Macaca mulatta: one gene and its partners. The protein of the gene in region 1 purifies or fractionates together with the protein of each later gene. This does not show direct contact. Links are inferred from orthologs where the notes say so. Each region holds a gene or a part of one and is shown in the gene's direction. Other genes may lie near its edges. The genes, in order: PSMB5, ADRM1, PSME4 and PSMD5.

Evidence for each region.
Region 2: the proteins of PSMB5 (region 1) and ADRM1 fractionate together in Homo sapiens (co-fractionation; 4 studies listed by BioGRID, with this or other methods). This does not show direct contact. The link is inferred for Macaca mulatta from reciprocal best matches to the Homo sapiens genes PSMB5 and ADRM1.
Region 3: the proteins of PSMB5 (region 1) and PSME4 purify together in Homo sapiens (affinity purification with mass spectrometry; 3 studies listed by BioGRID and IntAct, with this or other methods). This does not show direct contact. The link is inferred for Macaca mulatta from reciprocal best matches to the Homo sapiens genes PSMB5 and PSME4.
Region 4: the proteins of PSMB5 (region 1) and PSMD5 fractionate together in Homo sapiens (co-fractionation; 3 studies listed by BioGRID). This does not show direct contact. The link is inferred for Macaca mulatta from reciprocal best matches to the Homo sapiens genes PSMB5 and PSMD5.

What each region holds. Positions count from the first base shown.
Region 1 is NC_133412.1:96,124,866-96,130,823, reverse strand, and holds the start of PSMB5 (proteasome subunit beta type-5), read left to right. Parts: upstream 1-2,194; 5' UTR 2,195-2,206; coding exon 2,207-2,404; intron 2,405-3,313; exon of another isoform or gene 3,314-3,316; coding exon 3,317-3,623; exon of another isoform or gene 3,624-4,085; intron 4,086-5,958. UniProt on the Homo sapiens protein: Component of the 20S core proteasome complex involved in the proteolytic degradation of most intracellular proteins. This complex plays numerous essential roles within the cell by associating with different regulatory particles.
Region 2 is NC_133415.1:115,095,697-115,101,487, forward strand, and holds the start of ADRM1 (proteasomal ubiquitin receptor ADRM1), read left to right. Parts: upstream 1-1,997; 5' UTR 1,998-2,085; exon of another isoform or gene 2,086-2,155; coding exon of another isoform or gene 2,156-2,430; intron 2,431-2,615; coding exon of another isoform or gene 2,616-2,616; coding exon 2,617-2,829; intron 2,830-3,438; coding exon 3,439-3,555; intron 3,556-4,383; exon of another isoform or gene 4,384-5,194; intron 5,195-5,200; coding exon 5,201-5,324; intron 5,325-5,580; exon of another isoform or gene 5,581-5,752; coding exon 5,753-5,791. UniProt on the Homo sapiens protein: Component of the 26S proteasome, a multiprotein complex involved in the ATP-dependent degradation of ubiquitinated proteins.
Region 3 is NC_133418.1:70,792,264-70,797,246, forward strand, and holds part of PSME4 (proteasome activator complex subunit 4), read left to right. Parts: intron 1-1,634; coding exon 1,635-1,797; intron 1,798-4,193; coding exon 4,194-4,327; intron 4,328-4,851; coding exon 4,852-4,983. UniProt on the Homo sapiens protein: Associated component of the proteasome that specifically recognizes acetylated histones and promotes ATP- and ubiquitin-independent degradation of core histones during spermatogenesis and DNA damage response.
Region 4 is NC_133420.1:37,356,649-37,362,452, forward strand, and holds the start of PSMD5 (26S proteasome non-ATPase regulatory subunit 5), read left to right. Parts: upstream 1-2,308; 5' UTR 2,309-2,387; coding exon 2,388-2,560; intron 2,561-5,804. UniProt on the Homo sapiens protein: Acts as a chaperone during the assembly of the 26S proteasome, specifically of the base subcomplex of the PA700/19S regulatory complex (RC).

The sequences.
Region 1 (5,958 bases):
GTGTGAAACACAAAGATCTGCTTAATTGCATTCTGATGATTGGGCTTGGAAATGGTTGCCAATTTCAGCATTAAAAATACAGCATAGGCCGAGTGCAGTGGCTCACACCTGTAATCCCAGCACTTTGGGAGGCTGAGGCAAGCGGATCACCTGAGGTCATGGTGAAACCCCATCTCTACTAAAAACACAAAAATTAGCCAGGAGTGAGGTCGGGTGGTGGCTCACGCCTGTAATCCCAGCACTTTGGGAGGCCGAGGTGGGCGGATCACGAGGTCAGGAGATGGAGAGCATCCTGGCTAACAAGGTGAAACTCATTTCTACTAAAAATACAAAAAAAAAAAGAAAAAGAAAATTAGCTGGGCCTGGTGGCGGGCGCCTGTAGTCCCAGCTACTCGGGAGGCTGAGGCAGGAGAATGGTGGGAACCGGGGAGGCGGAGCTTGCAGTGAGCTGAGATGGCGCCACTGCACTCCAGCCTGGGCGACAGAGCAAAACCTGTCTCAGAAAAAAGAAAAGAAAAAAAAAAATTAGCCAGGAGTCGTGGCAGGCATCTGTAATCCCAGCTACTCAGGACGCTGAAGCAAGAGAATCGCTTGAACCCGGGAGGTGGAAGTTGCAGTGAGCCGAGATCACGCCCTTGCACTCCAGCCTGGGGGACAAGAGCGAGACTTTGTCTCAAAAACAAACAAACAAAATACAGCATATGGCTGGGCGCAGTGGCTCACGCCTGTAATGCCAGCACTTTGGGAGGCTGAGGTGGGTGGACTTCCTGGGGTCAGGAGTTCGAGACCAGCCTGGCCAACGTGGTGAAACCTCGTCTGCGCACGCACACACACACACACACACACACACACACACACACACACACACACACAATTAGCTGGACATGGTGGCGGGCACCTGTAATCCCAGCTACTCGGGAGGCTGAGGCAGGAGAATCACTTGAACCTGGGAAGCAGAGGTTGCAGTGAGCAGAGATCGTGCCACTGTGCTCCAGCCTAGGTGACAGAGCAAGCCTCCATCTCGAAAGAAAAAAAGAAAAAAAAAGAAAAAGAAAAAGAAAAAGAAAAAGAAAAATGCAGAGTCTGCTAGGGGAAAGATGGGGCTGAATTGGGCATCAGAAGAAAGTGGAATTTCGATGTTGATAGATGTTGCTGCTAGAATCCAACAAGGAAGGCCAGACACTGACTTCATAGAGCCACAAAGCAGGAGGCAACATTTCATACATATGCACACTTCCTGGTTTGTTATAGTTCCGAAAAGATTTGAAAAATGAAGGTGGGTGGAGGGAGGAAGAGGCAATGAAATATAGTACGTTCCTGAATAAAGGGCATCATCTTAGCAAGTTGAAGTTAGAGAATCTCTTGGTACATATTTATGCAGTCTCAACCGTCCTCCAGGCTCTGAGATGGTAAATTACTACTGGCACTTATTCAGGTCTGACTTGAGAATCTAGTTTGTGGATTAACTGGACCCTTTGCTTTTTCTTCTTCCATCTGCCTTTTAGGCAATTCATTACTTATTCGAATTTCCACCAGACGGTAGGAGTCAAGAGAAGGAATATTGGATATTAAAAACCGGTTACTGTTAAAGAAGGGTTGCTGTATGGCGACTGACAACAAGAGGTATAGCACTTTATTTTGTTGCGTTTTTTACCACTAATTACTGTGGTTTAACTAATATAGGGAAATGGCCTCAGAATGGATCATTATTTTATCCAGTTTTAGAGGGTGCCCTTAAACAAGATGGCAACCTCAGGGGCGTTAACAAGGTGCTGAAGCAGCAGCGATGTAACCTGTTGCTTGGACACCGGGCTGGAGTGGGCGGACCCACTGCTAAGGGTTCAGAACCAATTTTCAACCAGTCACGCCCTTCTCAAAGATGGCCGACCTCACTTCCCTCACGCAACATGGACGTTTTCAGACACTTCCTGTGAATTTGAGGTTACCCTGATCTAGGACTACTTGCATGACCAAAGCCAAGATGGCAGGTACGTTTAAGATTAGTGAAGCCATCTATTTCCCCAACGCCCTTCGTGAAAATGGTCTTTCCCATCTGGCGCTTCTTTTTGGAGGCGTGGTTGCCAGCAGTCAAAATGGCTCCTTTCGGGAATAGATTTAATAGGAAGTGAAGCTGTGACGGCGAGGCGTTGCCCGACCTATCTTTGCTAGGCGTTCTCAGAGTTAGTTCTTTCTGCCCACACTAGACATGGCGCTTGCCAGCGTGTTGGAGAGACCGCTACCAGTGAACCAGCGCGGGTTTTTCGGACTCGGGGGTCGTGCAGATCTGCTAGATATAGGTCCAGGGAGTCCCAGTGATGGGCTGAGTCTGGCCGCGCCCGGCTGGGGTGTCCCAGAAGAGCCAGGGATCGAAATGCTTCATGGAACAACCACCCTGGCCTTCAAGGTGCGGAGCCAGCCCCCTTGCCTGGCTGATTATTGAACGCCCGCGACTTGCCTGGCCTCCCAGCCTGACCGGAGTTTGCGGTGGCCTTGGCCACCAACCCAGGCGGAGGCGCGGTCCTCTCGTTCGGACCGCAGCAGTTTTGCTGTCTCATTGACCCAGGAGACTCCTGTCTTTGCTCTGGTTGGAGAGGGTGGCGGTGGGGCTGGGGGTAAGTCGGGGAAGGAAGCTGAGGCCTCTTGGGTTGATTCCTAGGCGACCCCAGGTTGCTGCTGTTCAGGATCTTCTAGCTGGGAAAGGGGAAAGGCCGCAACAACAATGAACCTTGGCCGAGGGAAGGCTATTGTAACCGTTTACCAAAGTTTTGGAAACTGGGCGGCCCCTCAAGGCAAGGGTAACCGAAACTGGCATAAAGGGGAAGCTGGGTTCCTCATCTATAAAATGATTTTTTTTGTTGTTTTTGAGACAGGGCTTCGCCCTGTCGCTCAGGCTGGAGTGCAATGGCGCCAGCGCCTCAGCCTCCAGAGTAGCTGAGACTATAGGCACACACCACCACGACAGGCTAAGTTTTTTATTTTTTGTAGAGGTGGATCTCCCTGTGTTGCCCAGGCTGGTCTCCAGCACCTGGCCTCAAGCGATCCTCCCGCCTTGGCCTCCCAAAATGCCAAGATTACAGGAGTGAGCCACCACGCCCATCCTATAAAATGAATTTAATATGAGTTATATCCATGTAAAGGGATTGAGATGTGAAGCTCAGGTGACATTAATATATGGGGAAGTAGAGAAGTGTACTGTGAAGTATAAAAGGATGGAGAAAGAGATGTGCTGGGTTTGGACTGATGCAAAAAGAAGTATGGTAGGAGTGTTTTTGTGGTCTTATGTGGCCTGTTTTGTGTTTTCCTCTGATCTTAACAGTTCCGCCATGGAGTCATAGTTGCAGCTGACTCCAGGGCTACAGCGGGTGCTTACATTGCCTCCCAGACGGTGAAGAAGGTGATAGAGATCAACCCATACCTGCTAGGCACCATGGCTGGGGGCGCAGCGGATTGCAGCTTCTGGGAACGGCTGTTGGCGCGGCAATGTCGAATCTATGAGCTTCGAAATAAGGAACGCATCTCTGTAGCAGCTGCCTCCAAACTGCTTGCCAACATGGTGTATCAGTACAAAGGCATGGGGCTGTCCATGGGCACCATGATCTGTGGCTGGGATAAGAGAGGCCCTGGTGAGTTAAGCTGCAACCACATTATCCTTGGGCTGACACTACGGAGAGGAGGAGTTGTATGGACAGATGAATTAAAGGGTTTGGTGTCAATGCTGAGGAAGTGTAATTAGGTCCTTAGCCCTTCTTTCTCTCTCCTTTTTTTTTTTTTTTTGAGACTGTGGCTCATTCTGTCACTCAGGCTGCAGTGCAGTGGCATGATCTTAGCTCACTGCAGCCTCCGCCCCCAGGTTTAAGTGATTCTCATGCCTCAGCTTCCCGTGTAGCTGGGATTACAGGCGCCCGCCACCATACCTGGTTAGTTTTTGTTTTTGGTTTTTTTTGAGACGGAGTTTCGCTCTTGTCACCTAGGCTGGAGTGCAATGGTGCAATCTTGGCTTATTTCAACCTCCACCTCCGGGATTCAGGCGATTCTCCTGCCTCTGCCCCCGAAGTAGCTGGGATTATAGGCATGCACCACCACACCTGGCTAATTTTTGTATTTTTAGTAGAGATGGGGGTTTGCCATCTTGGTCAGGCTGGTCTCGAACTCCTTACCTCAGGTGATCCACCCTCCTCGGCCTCCCAAAGGACTGGGATTACAGTCGTGAGTCACTGTGCCCGGCCTTATTTTTGTGTTTTTAGTAGAGACGGGATTTCACCATGTTTGCTAAGCTGGTATCCAACGCACATGATCCACTGACCTTGGCCTTGGCCTCCCAAAGTGCTGGGATTACAGGTATAAGCCACCGCACCCAGCCTGTTCCTTCTCTTTTTCAAGGAAGGCACTGTAGTATAGGAAAAGGGATAGAGTTAAATCAGCTGTGTCATTGACTACCTGTTTGACAGTGGGCATGCATATTTTCTCAGCCTCTGTTTTATCATCTGTTATATTGGTTAAGTGAGGTAACAAATGTAAACCTACTAGTATAGTGTCTGGCTAATAATTTTCCATCTGTTCTCTCTCCTATAAAATAAGACCCAGAGGCCAGGCGTGGTGGGTCATACTTGTAATCCCAGCACTTTAGGAGGCCGAGGCAGGTGGATCACGTGAGGTCAGGAATTCAAGACCAGCCTGGCCAACATGGCGAAACCCCATCTCTACTAAAAATACAAAAATTAGCCTGGCGTGGTGGCAGGTGCCTGTAATCCCAGCTACTCAGGAGGCTGAGGCACGAGAATCACTTGAACCCAGGAGGTGGATGTTGCAGTGAGCAGAGATCGCGCCACTGCACTCCAGCCTGGGCAATAGAGTGAGACTCTGTCTCCAAAAAAAAAAAGAATTTAAGAATTTGTTGAATCTTACATGTAGCAGTAGTGCTATTTGAAGTGTTCATTGGCCATGTGTGGCTTGTGGCTACTGTATTAGACTCTAATATATGGTTGTCCCTCAAAAGTTAGTCATTTCTCTTCTGTTTTTTTCTTTTCTTTTTTTTTTTTTTTTTTTTTTTGAGACGAAGTTTTGCTCTTGTCGCCTAGTCTGGAGTGCAATGGCATTGTCTCGGCTCACTGCAACCTCTGCCTCCTGGGTTCAAACAATTCTCCTGCTGCAGCCTCCCAAGTACCTGGGATTACAAGCGCCTGCCACCATGCCCAGCTAATTTTGTATTTTTAGTAGAGATGGGGTTTCACCATGTTGGCCAGGCTGGTCTCAAAATCCTGACCTCAGGTGATTCGCCTGCCTCAGCTTCCCAAAGTGCTAGGATTAAAGGCGTGAGCCACTGCACCTGGCCTCTTCTCCTTTTTTCTTTAGAGAGTCTTTGGCCTAGAAGGAGCCTTTTGGGCTCCTCTCTTTTTTGGGGGGCGTGGGTATAGAGTCTCACTCTTGTCGCCCCTGCTGGAGTGCAGTGGTGCAATCTCAGCTCACTGCACTCTCCGCCTCCCAGGTTCAAGTGATTCTCCTGCCTCAACCTCCCATGTAGCTGAGACTACAGGCATGCGCCACCATGCCCATCTAAATTTTGTATTTTTAGTAGAGACAGGGTTTCACCATGCTGGCCTTGAACTCCTGACCTCAGGTGATCTGCCCACCTCAGCCTGCCAAAGTGTTGAGATTACAGGGGTGAGCCATTGCGCCCAGTCCTGGGCTCATTTCTTTTATTTCTTTGCTGGTTATAATCACCCTTAACAATCGTGCTAGGTCCTGTTCTATCATCTCTGAAAATAAGTTCCTTAGCCTATTTTTCCTTTCCAGCATTTAAGAAACTTGCCAGAAAGTTCGACTCTGTATTTGATGTCATTTCCTCATCAGCCAGTTTTGAAATGTCCCTTTAGTAAAGTTGGAGTGTAGCTAGTCACTTTCTACTTTTCCCTTCCATATGCTTAAAAATAATTATTATTTCCTCCTTTTGTTTTTGCT
Region 2 (5,791 bases), on another chromosome or scaffold:
TGAGGGCACGAGGACGGGGCTGCAGTATCAGTGGCGCACCTATCACCAGCGGGCCCCAGAGCTTTGTGTTAGCCCCTCTCAAACCCTTTAGCCTCTGGACCGCTTAAATTCTTAAAAATTATACAGGCCCCCAAGAGCTTTTGTTTATGTGAGCTTTATTGACATTTACCATACTAGGAATTAAAAGGACATTTAAAATTATTTAACTACATAAAAATAACAAACTCACTACCTGTTAACACACATTTTAAAATGAAAAATAGCTACATTTTCCAAAACAACATGAATGGGAACATTATGACAGTCAAAAGCTGGCAACTAAACATAACTGGCACATGCTCTGCCACTGAGACAATGGAGGGCTGAGCAGTAGGCTCCCTGCAGAATGAAAGGACTGGAGCTGCCAGCATCAACACCAACGCATCTCCCAACAAGGGTGAATGAAAACATACACCTAAAGACCTCAGAGAGCTGTGCATCCACTCGGAGCGTGAGCCACCAAGCACACCCTGACCCCGGGGAACGCCCGAAGTGAGCAGAGTATCTGAAGGAAAGAAGGAAGTGAGCGGTGGGCAAAGGAGAACCCGAGGACCCTGGCAGGGTCTCAGCTGCAGACATCTAGTCCTCCTGCTTAACGGGTGCCGAGGCCACTGCACCTCGGGGTTCTCACGAAGCTCCTGACCTATTTTTATTACTATTATTATTTATTTATTTTATTTTTTATTTTTGAGGAGTCTCCCTTTGTTGCCCAGGCTGGAGTGCAGTGGCACAATCTCAGCTCACTGCAACCTCCACCTCCCGGGTTCAGGCGATTCTCGTGCCTCAGCCTCCTGAGTAGCTGGAATTACAGGCATGTGCCAGCACACCTTGCTAATTTTTGCATTAGTAGAGTCGGGGTTTCATCATGTTGCCCAGGCTGGTCTTGAACTCTTGGCCTCAAGTGATCCGCCCACCTCGGCCTCCCAAAGTGCTGGAATTACAGGCGTGAGCCACCGCGCCCGACCCCTCTAAGAGCCCCCGCCTGGCGTCGCTGTAGGCAAATCCCAAAGAACGTGTCCCTCTTCAGCAGCCGGCTGGGGCGCCACAAGCACTCTCTGTTGTCTTCGCTTTAGTTTGTGTCAAAAGTGACTCAAAGTTACACAACACTGGAGGGCGACTGCAGCCTTTTTACCCTGTGGCCTTTCCCATCCAGGCGCCCAGAGGATAAGCCCCTGCCCTCCGGGACCCCTGCCCTCCCGGACCCCACCCCTCTGGGACTCAGGCCTTCCCTGACTCCTCCCCTCCCGGACTCACCCCTCCCAGATCCCTTCCCTCCGGGACCCTCTTCCCTCCCGGGCCCCCTCCCCTCCGGGAACCTCTCCCCTCCCGGACTCACCCCTCCCAAATCCCTCCCCTCGGAGACCCCCTCCCCTCCCGGGACCCCTCTCCTCCGGGACCCATCCCTCCCTGACCTCTGCCCTCCCCGACCCCTGCGGGACTAGATGTATGCAGCTGAGACCATGTCACGGTTCTCACCCCTGCTCTCCCGGACGCGTGGACTGCAGCTCCTGCCCGGGTGCCCGAAGCGCTGAACCATGGTCACTTCTGTGCGTAGCCCTGGTGCCTGCCGCCCAGAGCCGGACCGCACTCCTCGGCTTCCTCCTATCCCCTGGCACAGTCACACGAGTGACAGCTCTTCCCGCCCGGGCTGGCGACGCCGAGGGGTGGGCTTGGCCCGACCTCAGCAGGTCCCCAGCGCGCTTCTGAAACCCGCCTGCGGTCCTTGGCGCCGCCTCTAGGGGCCGCCGCCGCTCCCCTATGACACAGCAACAATAGGGGCCGCTCTGGCCCACGCGCCTCCCGGCCCGCGCTTCCGCCGGAAAAGAGGCGCCGGCGCGGGGGCGGACCGGGGAGGAGCGAGTGCGATGGACGGTCGCCCTCGCCAATCGGTGGCAGATTAGGGCCGGCCTCGGGGCCTCCGGGGCCCAATCGGTGGCGAGAGCGGCAGGCGGGGCGGGCCGAACGCGGGCTTCCGGCGGGGCCCGGCAGGCGCCGAGGAGGAAGAGCCCGGACGGCGCCTCTCGTACGAGTGTGGGCGCGAGGCAGGTGCGGGGGTCGCAGGTCCTGGGGCGGCCGGGGGCGACCGGAGGCGGGGGCAGGGGCTGCTGGTCCGGGGATGGGGCGGGGTCAGCCAGGACGAGAAGGTGGCCGGCGCGGCGGGCGGGGCCTGCGGGGGCCGGGCCGGGTGGGGGCTCTGGGGTTCGGGCGCCGCCCCGGTTCCGCCTGCTGCCCTGAGCGTGGGGCTCGGCGGGAGCTCGGGCGGATCTGCCCCGCGGAGCGGGTCGCCGGGGCGGCGCGTCGAGGCTGGTTCCCCGCGGAGACGGCGTCACGCCTGGGGCCGGCCCCATTAGGCTCGGCGGGGCTGCCCCGGCCCAGCGCCGACTGCGAGCGGTGCGTTCGGCGGGCGCGGGGGAAACGCGGAAAGCAGCCCGGCGTGTCAGTGTGGACGGGGCCTGCGCGGCCTTAGGCAGCTCTGGGCGCCGGCCCCCTGCTCCCAAACACCCCAGGGGGCGGGAGCTTGCCGGACCGCAGGCGACCGTGACCGCCGCGTCTCAGCGTCGTCTCCGCGCTTTCAGGATGACGACCTCAGGCGCGCTCTTCCCAAGCCTGGTGCCAGGCTCTCGGGGCGCCTCCAACAAGTACCTGGTGGAGTTTCGGGCGGGAAAGATGTCCCTGAAGGGGACCACCGTGACCCCGGATAAGCGGAAAGGGCTGGTGTACATTCAGCAGACGGACGACTCGCTTATTCACTTCTGCTGGAAGGACAGGACGTCCGGGAACGTGGAAGACGTGAGTGTCCCAGAGCCGCGACAGCGGGACAGGCGACTTCTCGGGCCCTCGGAGTCCTCGCTTTGGAGTTCGCGGTGGGGGCTTGGCCGCATCTGGGGAACGCTCGTGAGGCCGTCATCGGCTGTCGTGCTGATGAGTCGTCCTGGTTTCCGCGATGACAGGGGCGTCTCGGCCACTGTGTGTCTTGAACTTTCCGTGTGAGGTGCCTGGGGTTGGAGGTGTGGCCCTGGAGAGCCTGGAGCTCTCTGCCTGGCCGCTTCACTCAGTCGTCTTTGTTCTTCAAACTTTAAGTTGTTTTTTGTTACATTGGAGAGTAGTTCAGAGTTGACCTTTTAACTACTCTAGGAATGTTGTTCCCAACACGTCTCAGAAACCCTGTTGCTATCTGAAAGGCCCATTTCCTGCTCTCTCCCCCGCGCCTTGCCTTTCATGGGCTGTCTCTGACCCTGGCTTCTCCACCTGGGGGAGACCCTGCCAGCGAGGGATCTGGCGGCTTAGCTGCCTCTTGTGCACCCCACCCCGTTAGACCCAGGGCCTGGCATGCTCTCCTGAGACTGGGCACAGTGGTGCCATCTGCACCGCTGACTCTCTCTTCCTGTGGCTTGCCAGGACTTGATCATCTTCCCTGACGACTGTGAGTTCAAGCGGGTGCCGCAGTGCCCCAGCGGGAGGGTCTACGTGCTGAAGTTCAAGGCAGGGTCCAAGCGGCTTTTCTTCTGGATGCAGGTACGGGGCAGCTCTTGGGGTTTTGCCTTTTTGTTGCCCTGTGATTCAGTTAGGAACTTGCTTGCAGTGTGGTGCAATTGGCTGTTACAAACCAGCGGGCACCGGCCACACGGCCTGAGATGCCACCCCGGGACTGTGGTGCGTGTTCCCTGGGGCCGAGGTCCTCTCCCAGAGTACGGCGGCTCCAGGCTGGGCTCCGGGTACCCAATTGCGGTGTGGAATTTCCAGCCAGACAGGCATGCTGACCCTGGTTCCAGCGATGCCCAGTGCCCTCTCTGCCCCTTGCTGTGGGTCACTGAGGCCCCCGCAGCAGAGGCAGGGGCTCCTGTGTGGCTCACAGAAACGAAGCATTCTCCTCTCCCTCTCCACAGCCCTGCCCCTTCCCTGGCAGTGTGTCCTGGAGGCCAGGGGTATCAGCGCCCAGGGTTTCTCTTACCCACAGCTGCAGAGCGTCCGTTGGGTCCAGAGGCCATTGCTCATTCTGCCCTCTGTCAGTGACCATTGAGCTTGTTGCTGTTTTTTGTGCTGTTACAGGCAGTGTTGCAAAGAATTGCCTGGTACACAGATTATTTTCCATAAGCCAGTATAATCTGGAGGTGAAAACTGGTGGCGGGCCTGTGGTCAGAAAGCGTGTGCGTGCGTTTGCAATGTGGAGAGAGAATGCCATGCCCTCTGCCAGAGGTGGAGCTGCTGTCCCCACCCCCAACCTTGGCCCTTTCGAGAGCAAGGGTGGCCCTGTCTGAGAGGCCTCTGGGGGGCAGATGGTCCGTGTTGCCGCTCACCTCTGCAGGCACTGTGCACGTGGCCTGGGAAATGAACAGGCATAGCCGAGTTCCAATTAAACTTTATTTGCAAACACAGATGGGGAGCACAGTTTGCCACCTGCTGGTGTAGAACGTGTTTTTCCACGGTTTTGCCAAGAAGTAGTGTCCAACTGTTACCACCCTCTCCCCTTTTTTTCCCGATTTTCCTGTTGATGACTTTTAAGTCCCTGTCCCCGCTTTGCCATGAGGGCAGGGACTCCCAGTGTCCCTGGCGCCCTGCCGTTCGGGGTGTGCCCATGAGGGCAGGGACTCCCAGTGTCCCTGGCGCCCTGCAGCCTCCATAGCTGTTGGAGGTGTGCGTGGGTGCTCTGCTCCCAGCTCTGTGTGCTCGCAGGTTGATGCTTCTGACCCTGGTCTGTGCACGTGTGGGGACACACACGTGTGCTCGATTGTGAGGGCCTGCCGTGGCTCTGGGCTGTGGTGTGCTGAGCGGGCCAGTTCGCTGCCTTCCACTGGTTGAAGGAAGGAGACAGGTGTATAAAGAACCACACCCCAGAGAGCAAGAGGGTGAGAGGACTTGGCTTGGCAGCAGCCAAGTGCCTTCGGAGCCCTAGGCTCCCCATCTGTGAAATGGGTGGAGGGGGACAGGGCACAGCCAGCATTGCGGCAGACTGGGGCAGGGCGCGGAGCATTGTGCTCAGCAGGCACCACTGCCATCCCCTCACCTGCTGAGCTGAGTCCTGTCTCCTCAGCACTGTGTAGCCAGGTACACGCGCCTGTGCCTCTCAGGTCCCTCACCTGTAAGCCAGCTCAGGATGGCTGTGGTGGCCCTCAGAGTGAGCTGGCACCGGCTCCTGCTCTTACGTGTCCTTTCTCTGCAGGAACCCAAGACAGACCAGGATGAGGAGCACTGCCGGAAAGTCAACGAGTATCTGAACAACCCCCCAATGCCTGGGGCTCTGGGGGCGAGCGGGAGCAGCGGCCACGAGCTCTCTGCACTAGGCGGTAACTGTCAGCTCTGTCACATGAGCTCAGGGTTTCCTGGGAGGCCAGAGTCTACTGTGGATGACTCGCTCCCTCCGCACAGGTTGTTTGGAAGTGGAAATAGAAGATTCTAAGTTAGACACCCTGTTAGCTCCTCGCTCCCTCCGCACAGGTTGTTTGGAAGTGGAAATAGAAGATTCTAAGTTAGACACCCTGTTAGCTCCCTGGGTCACTCCCCAGTCCCATCTTCATGGGGTAGGACGGGTCTGTGGCCCACCGTTGCGTCACTTCAAGTGGTGCCGCCTGTAGAGTTCAGAGGCAGCCGAGTGGGGTGCTCAGCAGAGGCCCAGGCAGCACTGTGGGGCCGGAGTGGGGCTGGCCGGGGCGGTGCTGTGGGGCTGGCGTGGATCTGGCTAGGGCAGGCCCCCCTGAGCTGCAGTGTTTTCCAGGTGAGGGCGGCCTGCAGAGCCTGCTGGGGAACATGAGCC
Region 3 (4,983 bases), on another chromosome or scaffold:
AGGAAAACGCAAACTTGAAACAATGAGGCATTTTTACCTACTCCTAATTTAGTGTTTTCCTCCCCTCACAAAACAAAAATGTGTAGTAATGAAAAGCAGTGTAAAGTATAATGGGTAGTTCACATTTAAGTTTTGTGTCATTATATGTTAGCACTGGCTTTTTTGAAAAGCAATAAATAGCCATAAAATTAACAGTAAAATTGTTTATATATTTACATTTACTAATCCCAATTTTCGTAATCTATTCTAAGAAAATACACTGCAGGCCGGGCACGGAGGCTTACGCCTGTAATCCCAGCACTTTGGGAGGCCAAGGCAGGAGGATTGCTTGAGCCCAGGAGTTGGAGACCAGCCTGGGCAACAGAGTGAGACCCATGTCTACAGAAACTAAAAACTTAAAAACACAGAGTGAAAATATATACTATAATATGAAAGGTTAAACAAATTACAAATATTGATAGCATAGTACTGAAAATATGAAAGTAATCTAGTCAGTAGTTAATTATGAAAATAAATTTTGGAGGCCGGGCGCGGTGGCTCACGCCTGTAATCCCAACACTTTGGGAGGCCGAGGCGGGCAGATCGCGAGGTCAGGAGATCGAGACCATCCTGGGGAAACCTCGTCTCTACTAAAAATACAAAAACATAAATTAACCGTGGTGTCAGGTGCCTGTAGTCCCAGCTACTCGGGAGGCTGGGGCAGGAGAATGGCGTGAACCCAGGAGGTGGAGCTTTCAGTGAGCCGAGATCGCGCCACTGCACTCCAGCCTGGGCGACAGAGCGCGACTCCGTCTTAAAGAAAAAAAGAAAAAGAAAAGAAAAATTATGGCATATAAGCTTTATAGGAAATAGTGCAACCAGTAAAACATTTTACAATGTATTTCATATGCTAGTGTAACGGACGCAGGAAAGAACATTATGTACTCGACAGACTATGATGATAAACTTACGAAAAACCTTTTGAAGGAATACAACAGAGCAAAACATCTGTTTTTTAAAATTATCATTGTGTATTATGAACATTAAACATAAATGTGATTTATATGTGAAATGATGCCTTTTTACTGCTTTTTTTTCCAAAAAGTTGAGTTACCATTCCAATTTGAAATGAACTGTGTACACGCTTCATTTAGTATTTGTGTAAACTGTGTTTACAATCTGACAGCAGCCTGTGAAATTCATAAGAATTAAACAGGATATAAGTCTCTATGATGTATGCCAATTACAGAAATTAGGTTGGTCTGTGCTTTGTTACTAACAAAAATAGCTAAGGCAGTGGCCTTCAGAGATGTAGTCTGGGAAAACTTGATCTTAATGTCAGGCTCTGGCACTGCTTTTACAGTTATAGCCCTGATGAGAGCTATCAGTAGGGAAGATAATTTATGGAGAAATTTAATTTTTCTAAAAGAGGTAAAAGTTTATGCTCATAACCCTAATGTAGTTTTTATCCATTACAAGGCCACAGACTCTGAGAATCTGCTGAAATCTCTATTAAGAAACTGCCAAAGAGCATACACAAAATTTGCATGTAATTTCAGGGAAGGTCTTCACCCCAGTTCCCACACTACCCCCTATCCTCCATTATTCCCTCAGACTTAGAATGTCAGTTCTAATAGACATAATTATATCTACAGGTTCGAGAAATGGCTGCTACTACCTTAAGCGGTCTGCTACAGTGTAACTTCCTTACCATGGACAGTCCTATGCAGATTCATTTTGAGCAACTTTGCAAAACAAAACTACCTAAGAAAAGAAAGCGAGACCCTGGTTCTGTAGGAGATACCATTCCTTCTGCAGGTAACATTGCTGGTAGAAAACACTCATATCCTGTTGGGAATTAATGAGGGTTAACCAGGCTTACTCATATTTATTGAATACTTGTATGTATGTGCCCAGGTCTATGCTAGGTATTGGGAAAAGTTTTCCCTACTTTTGAGGAATTTTGCATATAGAAAGCAGGACTTGGGAATGTAGAAAAGCTAAAATTGAGGTAAGTACAAAGGAACCTGTAGAACTGCTACCTAATAACTATTGTAATCAGTCTACCCTCCACCCAGAATAGCTTCATAAAAGAGATACTCAGATTAGTTATTTTGGAGGGTCTGAAATACCTGTTTTTGGAATTTAGAACTTAAATGTAGATGTACTGACAGAAAAAACTAAACAAAGCAAGCCTTGTTTTGATTTGGAGATGGGGATTATTTGGTCCTTCATTAGTCCTTTGGTGAGAGAGTGCAGAGTCATTGCAGGAGCTGCCTTAGTTGAATATAGACACAAGTTAAACACGAGAATAAGATCTGACTACTATGTCATGTTTAAAGAGAAATGTGAATGTGATTACAAAGATGCATCTTGCCACGTTAACTATAATCCTAATAGAAAATACATAAAAAGATTAATAGTAAGTAGGCATTTTATTGAATTTAGAGGACGTGCTTAGAATATAAAACTTTTACTGCTGATTAGTGTCTTAATTATGTCATAAAGTTACCTAGTAACAGAATCCAATAAAATATCAATGTACGTTCTAGTATCTTTGCTTTTTGGGATATACATATATATGTTTTATATATAATATAAACATATTTTATAATACATATCTTTTGGAAACAGGATCTTCCACTGTCTCCCAGGCTGGAGTGCAGTGGCATGATCTCGGCCCCCTGAAACCTCCACTTCCTGGGTTCAGGCAATTCTCATGCCTCTGTTAGCTGAGTAGCTAGAATTACAGGCGCGCACTACCACACCAGCTAATTATTTGTATGTTTAGTAGAGATGGGGTTTCACCATGTTGGTCAGGCTGGTCTTGGACTCCTGACCTCAAGTGATCCACCCACCTGGGCATTCTAGAATACTGGGATTACAGACGTGAGCCACAGCACTGGCCTGAGAACTCTATTTTTTAAATGATAAAGTGCCAAAGTATTTTTAGGTCTTTGTTACACCAAATGATATTGTTTACAATTTTGACCAGTCCAAATTCTCTTTTCCTTACCTTCAACTCCGTTTTCCATGTGTCACATATACACATGTAATATGTTTTAAAACACATGAATACACACACTTTTATTGAGAAACTGAGAATTTGAAACGATTTTAACTTACAGCACTACAGAAAGAATAGAGACCCTTTAGAATACAGACATGCTGCAATTCACTGTTTTAAGAAATAGACCTTCTTCATACATGATGTGTTAACTAATGAATCAATGTATTCTGGGTAGGGTCGTCACATCCAGAAAAAAAAAAAGCTAATTTTGATTGGAGATTATTTTAGAATCAGGGATTGTACTGGCCTAGGTACAATTATGCTGTCATGGATGAACAACTATGGAAGTCTTGAAAAAAATCTTTTTTTTTTTTTTTTTTTTTTTTTTTTTTTTTTTTTTTGAGATAAGGTCTTGCTCTGTCGCCCTCCTTGGAGTGCAGTGGTTTTGAACAATAGCTCACTGCAGCCTTGACCTCCCAGGCCCAAGCGATCCTCCTGCCTCAGCCTCTTGTCCAGCTGGAACCACAGGCATGCACTGCCATGCCCAGCTAATTTTGTTTTTGTTTTTGTTTTTTTAATTTTTTTTGAGATGGAGCTCGCTCTGTGGCACAGGCTGGAGTGCAATGGTGCGATCTTGGCTCGCCGCAACCTCTGCTTCCCCGGTTCAAATGATTCTCATGCCTCAGCCTCTGGGTATCTGTGACTTCACATGCCATTACACCCAGCTAATTTTTGTATTTTTAGTAGAGACAGGGTTTCGCCACGTTGGCCAAGCTGGTCTTGAACTCTTGACCTCAGGTGATCCACCTGTCCCGGCCTCTCAACGTGCTGGGATTATAGGCATGAGCCACCATGCCTGACTGCCAGCTAATTTTAAAAATGTATTTTTGGAGAGACAGGTTCTCACTTTGTTGCCCTGACTGGTCTCAAATTCCTGGCCTCAAGTGATCCTCCCACCTTGGCCTCCCAAAGTGCTGGGATTACAGGTATGAGCCACTGTGCCCAGCTGACAAATTCTTAAATACAGTATTATTTTTAGTTTAGCCTCAAAATCAAGTTTTTGATGTGTATACATGTAGATTCATTTTAAATGCAGAAATTCACATATTGAAAACAACATAATTGAAAACTAATTTTATTTCACTGTCACAGCTGCATTAGAGACATGTAAATATTTGCACATATGTTGCTGTTTTCTTTGCAGAGTTGGTCAAACGCCATGCTGGGGTGCTAGGACTTGGCGCATGTGTTCTTTCTAGTCCTTATGATGTTCCCACCTGGATGCCCCAGCTCCTCATGAATCTCAGTGCACATCTAAATGATCCTCAGCCTATTGAGGTACAGTTCTTCCTTATTAGTTTGTACATGTAGTATCAGTGATGTTTTCTAAGAAACCATAATAATAATTTCCTATACACTCTGAACTAACTGCTTTCATAAAGCTACTGCCTCTGCCAGGGCTCAGTCTGTTCACCAGTAATTATTTAAAAATTACAGAGACCTTGCTGCCATGGATATTTGAGATCTTTTGGTAGTCAAGAAATTATTGTAGCTTCTATCCCTCCCAGTTCAATGGAAGTAAAGTACTGTCACTATAGCTGTGATAAATTTTATGTTTCTATTTTTCTAGCACTGCAAAGTATTTTACTGGAAGCTAGTATTAAATAGGAAATTATGATGGCATTTTTAGTAACTCAAAAGACCATTGACTTTGTCCTTCTCATTGGCTTTTTGGTTTTGTAGCATTTGGTATTGTGTGAGATCTGAAGTCTAGAGGGATGGTAATTTAACTAAAAATATCCTACCTATGATCCTGGTTGTCCAGAGAGGTTAAAAACGTATGTGGATTGTCTACTTTACAGATGACTGTAAAAAAAACCTTATCCAATTTCCGAAGGACTCACCATGACAACTGGCAAGAACACAAACAGCAATTCACTGATGACCAACTGCTTGTTCTCACCGATCTTCTTGTGTCACCATGCTATTATGCA
Region 4 (5,804 bases), on another chromosome or scaffold:
TGATTCAGAGTCAGATTTCCCCTCAGACTCAGATTCTGTATCCATCACCTTCACCTAGATGACATCCTCTTCTTCATGTCTTCTTTCTCTTTCCAAGTCCTTTGCTTTATTTTGAAGGTTCTTCTGCATCTCTTTATAGGTATAAGCAATTTATTGAAATCTTTTTTAAAAGCCAAGCTTTAATCCAGGAAAGGATCCATATCAATTGCAGCATCAGTGAGGCCTGAGGTCTGGCATCAGACAGCATTCAATTTCCTCTGTCTGCAAAGACTTCTTCCTATGGACATAGACTCTCAGTTGTGACTAAAGATTGAAACTTGAGTAGCTCACTAATTTCACTTTCCCTGATATCAATGAATCTTAAACCCACCTGTTTTGCAGACACTAAGTTTTTTTAACTTCTTCATTAGCTCTAGGGAAAATGCATCATCATTCACACATCCTCCCACAGTTTCCAGCAAGCTTAAGAGTGGCTGATTTTATATCACCCATCACCTCTTTTATCACTACCAAAGAATCAGCAATATTGTACTGTTGCCATGTTTCTTTCAGAGTAAGGCGAAGGTTTTTTTAAATACAGTCAGCAAAGTGGTCAAACATATGTTTGGTGTAATACCTCCCAAATGCTTCGATTATACCCTAACCCAAGGGCTGAAGAAAGCTAGGGCCTTCCTGAGGGAGAAACACAATCAACATTAGAATGAACAAAGAATAATGAATCTGGGTGATTGGGACCTCCGTCCACAATTAGCAACATTCTGATTTCCGGATTTTTTTTTCTGTTAAATGACTTCGGACTTGATGGATAAAAAAATAACAAAACCAATCCATAAAGTGGCAATGGTGATTCTGGGTGTGTTCACAAGAAAACAGGAAGGCGTTTATCTCTTTCTGAAAGACAAGTGGGGGATTAGAGTCTTTGTAAAGCAGCAGTGGTTTTATCATTTTGTCACCTGAGGCACTGCCACAAAAAAAATGAGGGAAATCCTGTCCTTAGCCTCCTCTAAGCTTTCCAGAGTTTTGTCTTTTGCCCCAAAAGTAGGAAGGCACGCACAGAAAAGATGGGTCGTCTCCTTGGTGTTGAAGACCTGTTGAGGCACATAGCCTCTCTCCAGTTGCTTGGAATACTCGGTGCCCACTCAGCATTTAAGGGTCCTTCCTCCCCATCAACCTGGTACATTGCAAAACAGCAGCGATTTTTAAAGTTCTCAAACCACCCCTTGCTCCCATGATACTTATTTGGGTTGTCCTCCCCAGATGTTTCCTACAGGTTCCCTGTGGATATATTAGGCCTGGTTGCAGATGGCCTTCCCGGTCAGATGTCGCCCTCTACCATCTGGCCCTCCACCTAAAAGGTTAACTGGATCTCCACCTTCACGATGTTTACATTACCGGGAATACACAGCAGCTTGGAGCAGATGGGCGACCAACTTTCCACACTGGTTTTTTTTGGTTTTGGGGTGGGGGGAGGGCGCCAAGGTGTTGGGGAAGCAGGGTCTTGCTGTCACCCAGGCTGGAGTGCAGTGGCATAATCACAGCTCACTGCAGCCTCGACCTCCCAGGCTTAGGTGAGCCTCCCGCTTCAGCCTCCCGAGTAGCTGAGACTACAGGTGCGTGCTACCACACCGCACTAATTTTTTTCTTCTTCTTCTTTTTTTTCTTTTTGGTAAAGACTGGGTTCTCACTATGTTGCCCAGGCTGGTTTCGAACTCCTGGGCTCAAGCGATCCTTCCGCCGCGGCCTCCCAAAGCGCTGAGATTACAGGCACGGCCACCGCGCCCACAGCTGCTTCTCCTTGGTGGACTGATCAACACCAACAAGGCGGCGCACGTCCCTATTACTCACGCCTTTGTCCGGCTCCTGGAGAATACTCATCCAGTCTTCCTGGAGGCACGACGCTCCGCCTCCTCTTGACAGGTGTCTGGCCCAGGATCAAGATTCCCCTCCAGGCCTCCGCTCCGCCTGGGGCGGCCTCACCTGCGGTCGTAGCCGCGGTGGCCTCCCTAACGGCTGCGGTCGCCGCCGCCTAGAGCCTGGTTTTGGAGCCGCGAGGCCGCCCACGAAGCTCTTTAACTTCCCGTAAGTCCCCATCCTCGCCGCTCCGCTGGCTGGGAATTTGGCAAGTCTTGCCCTACGCGATAAACACGTAAGCCAACTGGCTAACTGGCCTCCGCAATCTCCTGAGCAGCGCCCTAGATGACGCCAGACAGAGGGAGCCGCAGCCACTGGCTACAGTTGACACGGCACTAACGGACACTTCTCGCGAGGCTTGGCAGCCCCATAGCAATCTCAGGGACAAGGAGGCTGTGATCAGCAGATCTCGCGACGTTCAGGGAAGCGCCCCGGGAACCGGGCCGCTGGCCAACCCCTGCGTGGGGAGGGGCAAGATGGCGGCCCAGGCCTTGGCGTTGCTGAGGGAGGTAGCGAGGCTGGAAGCGCCGCTGGAGGAGCTACGCGCTCTTCACTCAGTGCTGCAGGCAGTGCCGCTCAACGAGCTTCGCGAGCAAGCGGCGGAGCTGCGCCTCGGCCCGCTCTTCTCCCTGCTTGATGAGAACCATAGGTGAGAGGACCCCGGGACCTTGAGCCGAGGAGAGGGGCACCCCTAAATATGGACACGAGAGTGGTTGAGGGCAAGAACAGCGCTTTTCCCAGTCACAGGGAAGGTGGAAAGTAGCCGAAATTTGCAAAGAGGGAAGGATCCCAGGTTCAGAGGGCAGGAGACGGGATTCAGGTTCAGCCTCTGGGAGTGCCCCAGGGTGTTTTCTCCCGTCGCCTGGCCTCGCTGCCTCTGAGCAGTGAGGCACTGCCTTCTCCTTCAGATAGAAATTAAAGGAGAAAAGCAAAGCTGTCCACTTACAAGGAGCATTCCACATCTCTTTGTACAGGTTCTTGATTTGTTACCTCTTCTAAAAGGATCCTGTCCTGGCAATGTGGCAAGAACCATCACCATTTTAAATTCACATGCCTTTTCATCCAGTTATTCTTGTTACAAAAATTTAATGCAAGTATACGCGCACAAAATGTGCAGTTATTTTGTTCTTTCGAACCCGAGGCTGGAATCGCCCCAAAAACAGCGGCAAGGGAGTTCCCACAAGGGAGTGCTTCAAACCTTCCCGAGATGTGGCTGGTTGGGATGCCAGAGAAAGAAGCACTGAATGCCAAGGCGATCAGTCCAAAAGGGTTTAGGGGGAACCTACGGAGGGCTGCAGAAATTATCAAGACGGACACCGGGAGAAAAGAGGTGTTCCTGGGTTTGGAGTTTAGTTGAGAGTTTAAAGGAATTTGGCTCGGGATTGAGGCCAGTTTCTTCCAGTGTTTTGGGCAACAACCTAGGTACCTTTATCAGGCCTGGGAATGTTCAAGGCCCCGGGTTTATGGTCAAGCCTGCTAGGGAAACCTGCTGCTGGCTAGGTCAGAGAGCAATCAAGGCACTCTGATTTTCCATCAGCACACAGAAAGAAAGGGGGCGACTGGAGGACCCTACAGTATTATATGCAAGAATATTTGTAACATATCGTGTGTGACACCAAAAGACTAGAAACAATCTAAATATCCGTTAACAGGGGATTCCAAATTATGCGCTACTACTCTGTAACACTATGCAGTTATTTAAGACGTTGAAGTAGATGTATATATGTATGTGGACATGGAACGATTTCTGTGTTGTTGAATGAAAAAGAAAATTGCAGAGTTTATGAATCTATAATTTTAACCTGTAATTTTTAAAAAGGATTACAATCCTCCCAACCCCCACAGGCTTGTATAACTTGTATAACATTGCAAAGATCTGCGAAGGCACACCAGAAACTATTATTAGGGAAGTGGGTCTGAAAAAAGTAGGACAACTTTTACTTTTTATTTTTTTCACATCCATAGTGTTTGATTTAAAACACTTTGTAGGCTGGGCGCGGTGGCTCACGCCTGTAATCCCAACACTTTGGGAGGCTGAGGCGGACGGATCACCAGGTCAAGAGATGGAGACCATCCTGGCCAACATGGTGAAACCCCGTCTCTACTAAAAATACAAAAATAGGCTGGGCGCTGTGACTCATGCCTGTAATCCCAGCACTTTGGGAGGCCGAGGTGGGTGGATCACAAGGTCAGGAGTTCGAGACCAATCTGGCCAACATAGTGAAACCCCATCTCTACTAAAAATACAAAAATTAGCCAGGCATGGCTAATCCCAGCTAGTCGGGAGGCTGAGGCAGGAGAATCACTTGAACCCGGGAGGCAGAGGTTGCAGTGAGCCGAGATCACGCCGCTGCATCCAGCCTGGTGACAGAATGGGACTCTGTCTCAAAAAAATAATAAAAATAAAAATAAAAACACTTTGTAGACCAGGAGCAGTGGCTCACTTGTGTAATCCTAACACTTTGGGAGGCTGAGGCGGGTGGATCACTTGAGCCCAGGAGTTCAAGACCAGCCTGAGCAACATGGTGAAACCCATCTCTACAAAACAAAACAGAGTTAACTGGGTGTGCGTGCCTGTAGTCCCAGCTACTTGAGGGCTGAGGCGGGAGCATCCCTTGAAGCTCAGGAGGCGGAGGTTGCAGTGAGCCAAGATTGTGCTACTGCACTCCAGCCTGGGTGACAGAGTGAAGCCCTGTCTTTTTTTTTTTTTTTTTTTTAGACAAAGTCTGAAGCACGTGCCACCACCACCACACCCAGCTAATTTTTGTGTTTTTAGTAGAGATGCAGTTTCACCATGTTGACCAGGCTGGTGTCGAACTCCTGACCTCAAGTGATCCGTCTGCCTCGGCCTCCCAAAGTGCTGGGATTACAGGCATGAGCCACGGCACCCAGCCAAGACTCTGTCTTTAAAAATATATATATAAGATAAGATTTTAAAAAATTTTATAATTCTTTCTTACCTGGATCTGGGGGAAAAAAAGGAAAAAAAAAACCCACTTTGTATTTGATGCTTTGATCATTTAAAAGAGTTTTGAAATGTTTGTGATCCAAAGACTTTAAAGTGACCTTACTACTTGAAAAGATTGTGAACCACTGAATCAACACTGGATGATTTCAGAGCACTTTCTTCACTCTGACCTTCTAAGATTCCTTCCTTTTCTGTAAGTGTTCTCCATTCATGAAGTCTATCAGTTAACATTATTTGGGCCGGCCTATGAAATATCTCTTATTTGTCTCCTCTTTAAGTCAAGCCCTCATTTTTTCCCTCTTGGTAGGTCTGTAGTTTTAGTCTGACCTCTCATTACTCTGAAATTCCTGTTCTAGCAAGTCCTTCCCACCCTGTAACCCCAGTGAGCATACATCTCAAGTCAGTTGGTGCTAATCCTTTCCATGGTTTCCTGAAGGGGTGGCCTGCCCCTCCACACCTGTGGGTGGGCGTTTCTCATTAGGTGGAACGAGAAACTTGAGAAAAGAAATGAGACACAGAGACAAAGTATAGAGAAAGAAAAAGTGGGCCCAGGGGACCGGCGTTCAGCATACAGAGGACCCACACCTGCACGGGTCTCTGAGTTCCTCAGTATTTATTGATCATTATCTTTACCATCTTAGAAAAAGGTAAATGGCAGCATAATAGGATCATCATAGGGAGAAGGTCTGCAGTAAGACATGAATAAAGATCTCTGTGACATAAGTTTAAGGAAAAGTGCTGTGCCTTTATATGCATATGTAAACATCTCCATAAACCTTTTTAGTGCATAAAGAGCAGCATTGCGCCAGCAAGTCCCACCTTTCGCCCTAAGGCAGTTTTCTCCTTTCTCAGTAAACAGAACATACAATTCAGTTTTACACCGAGATGTTCCATTGCCTAGGGACGGGCAGGAGACAGATGCTTT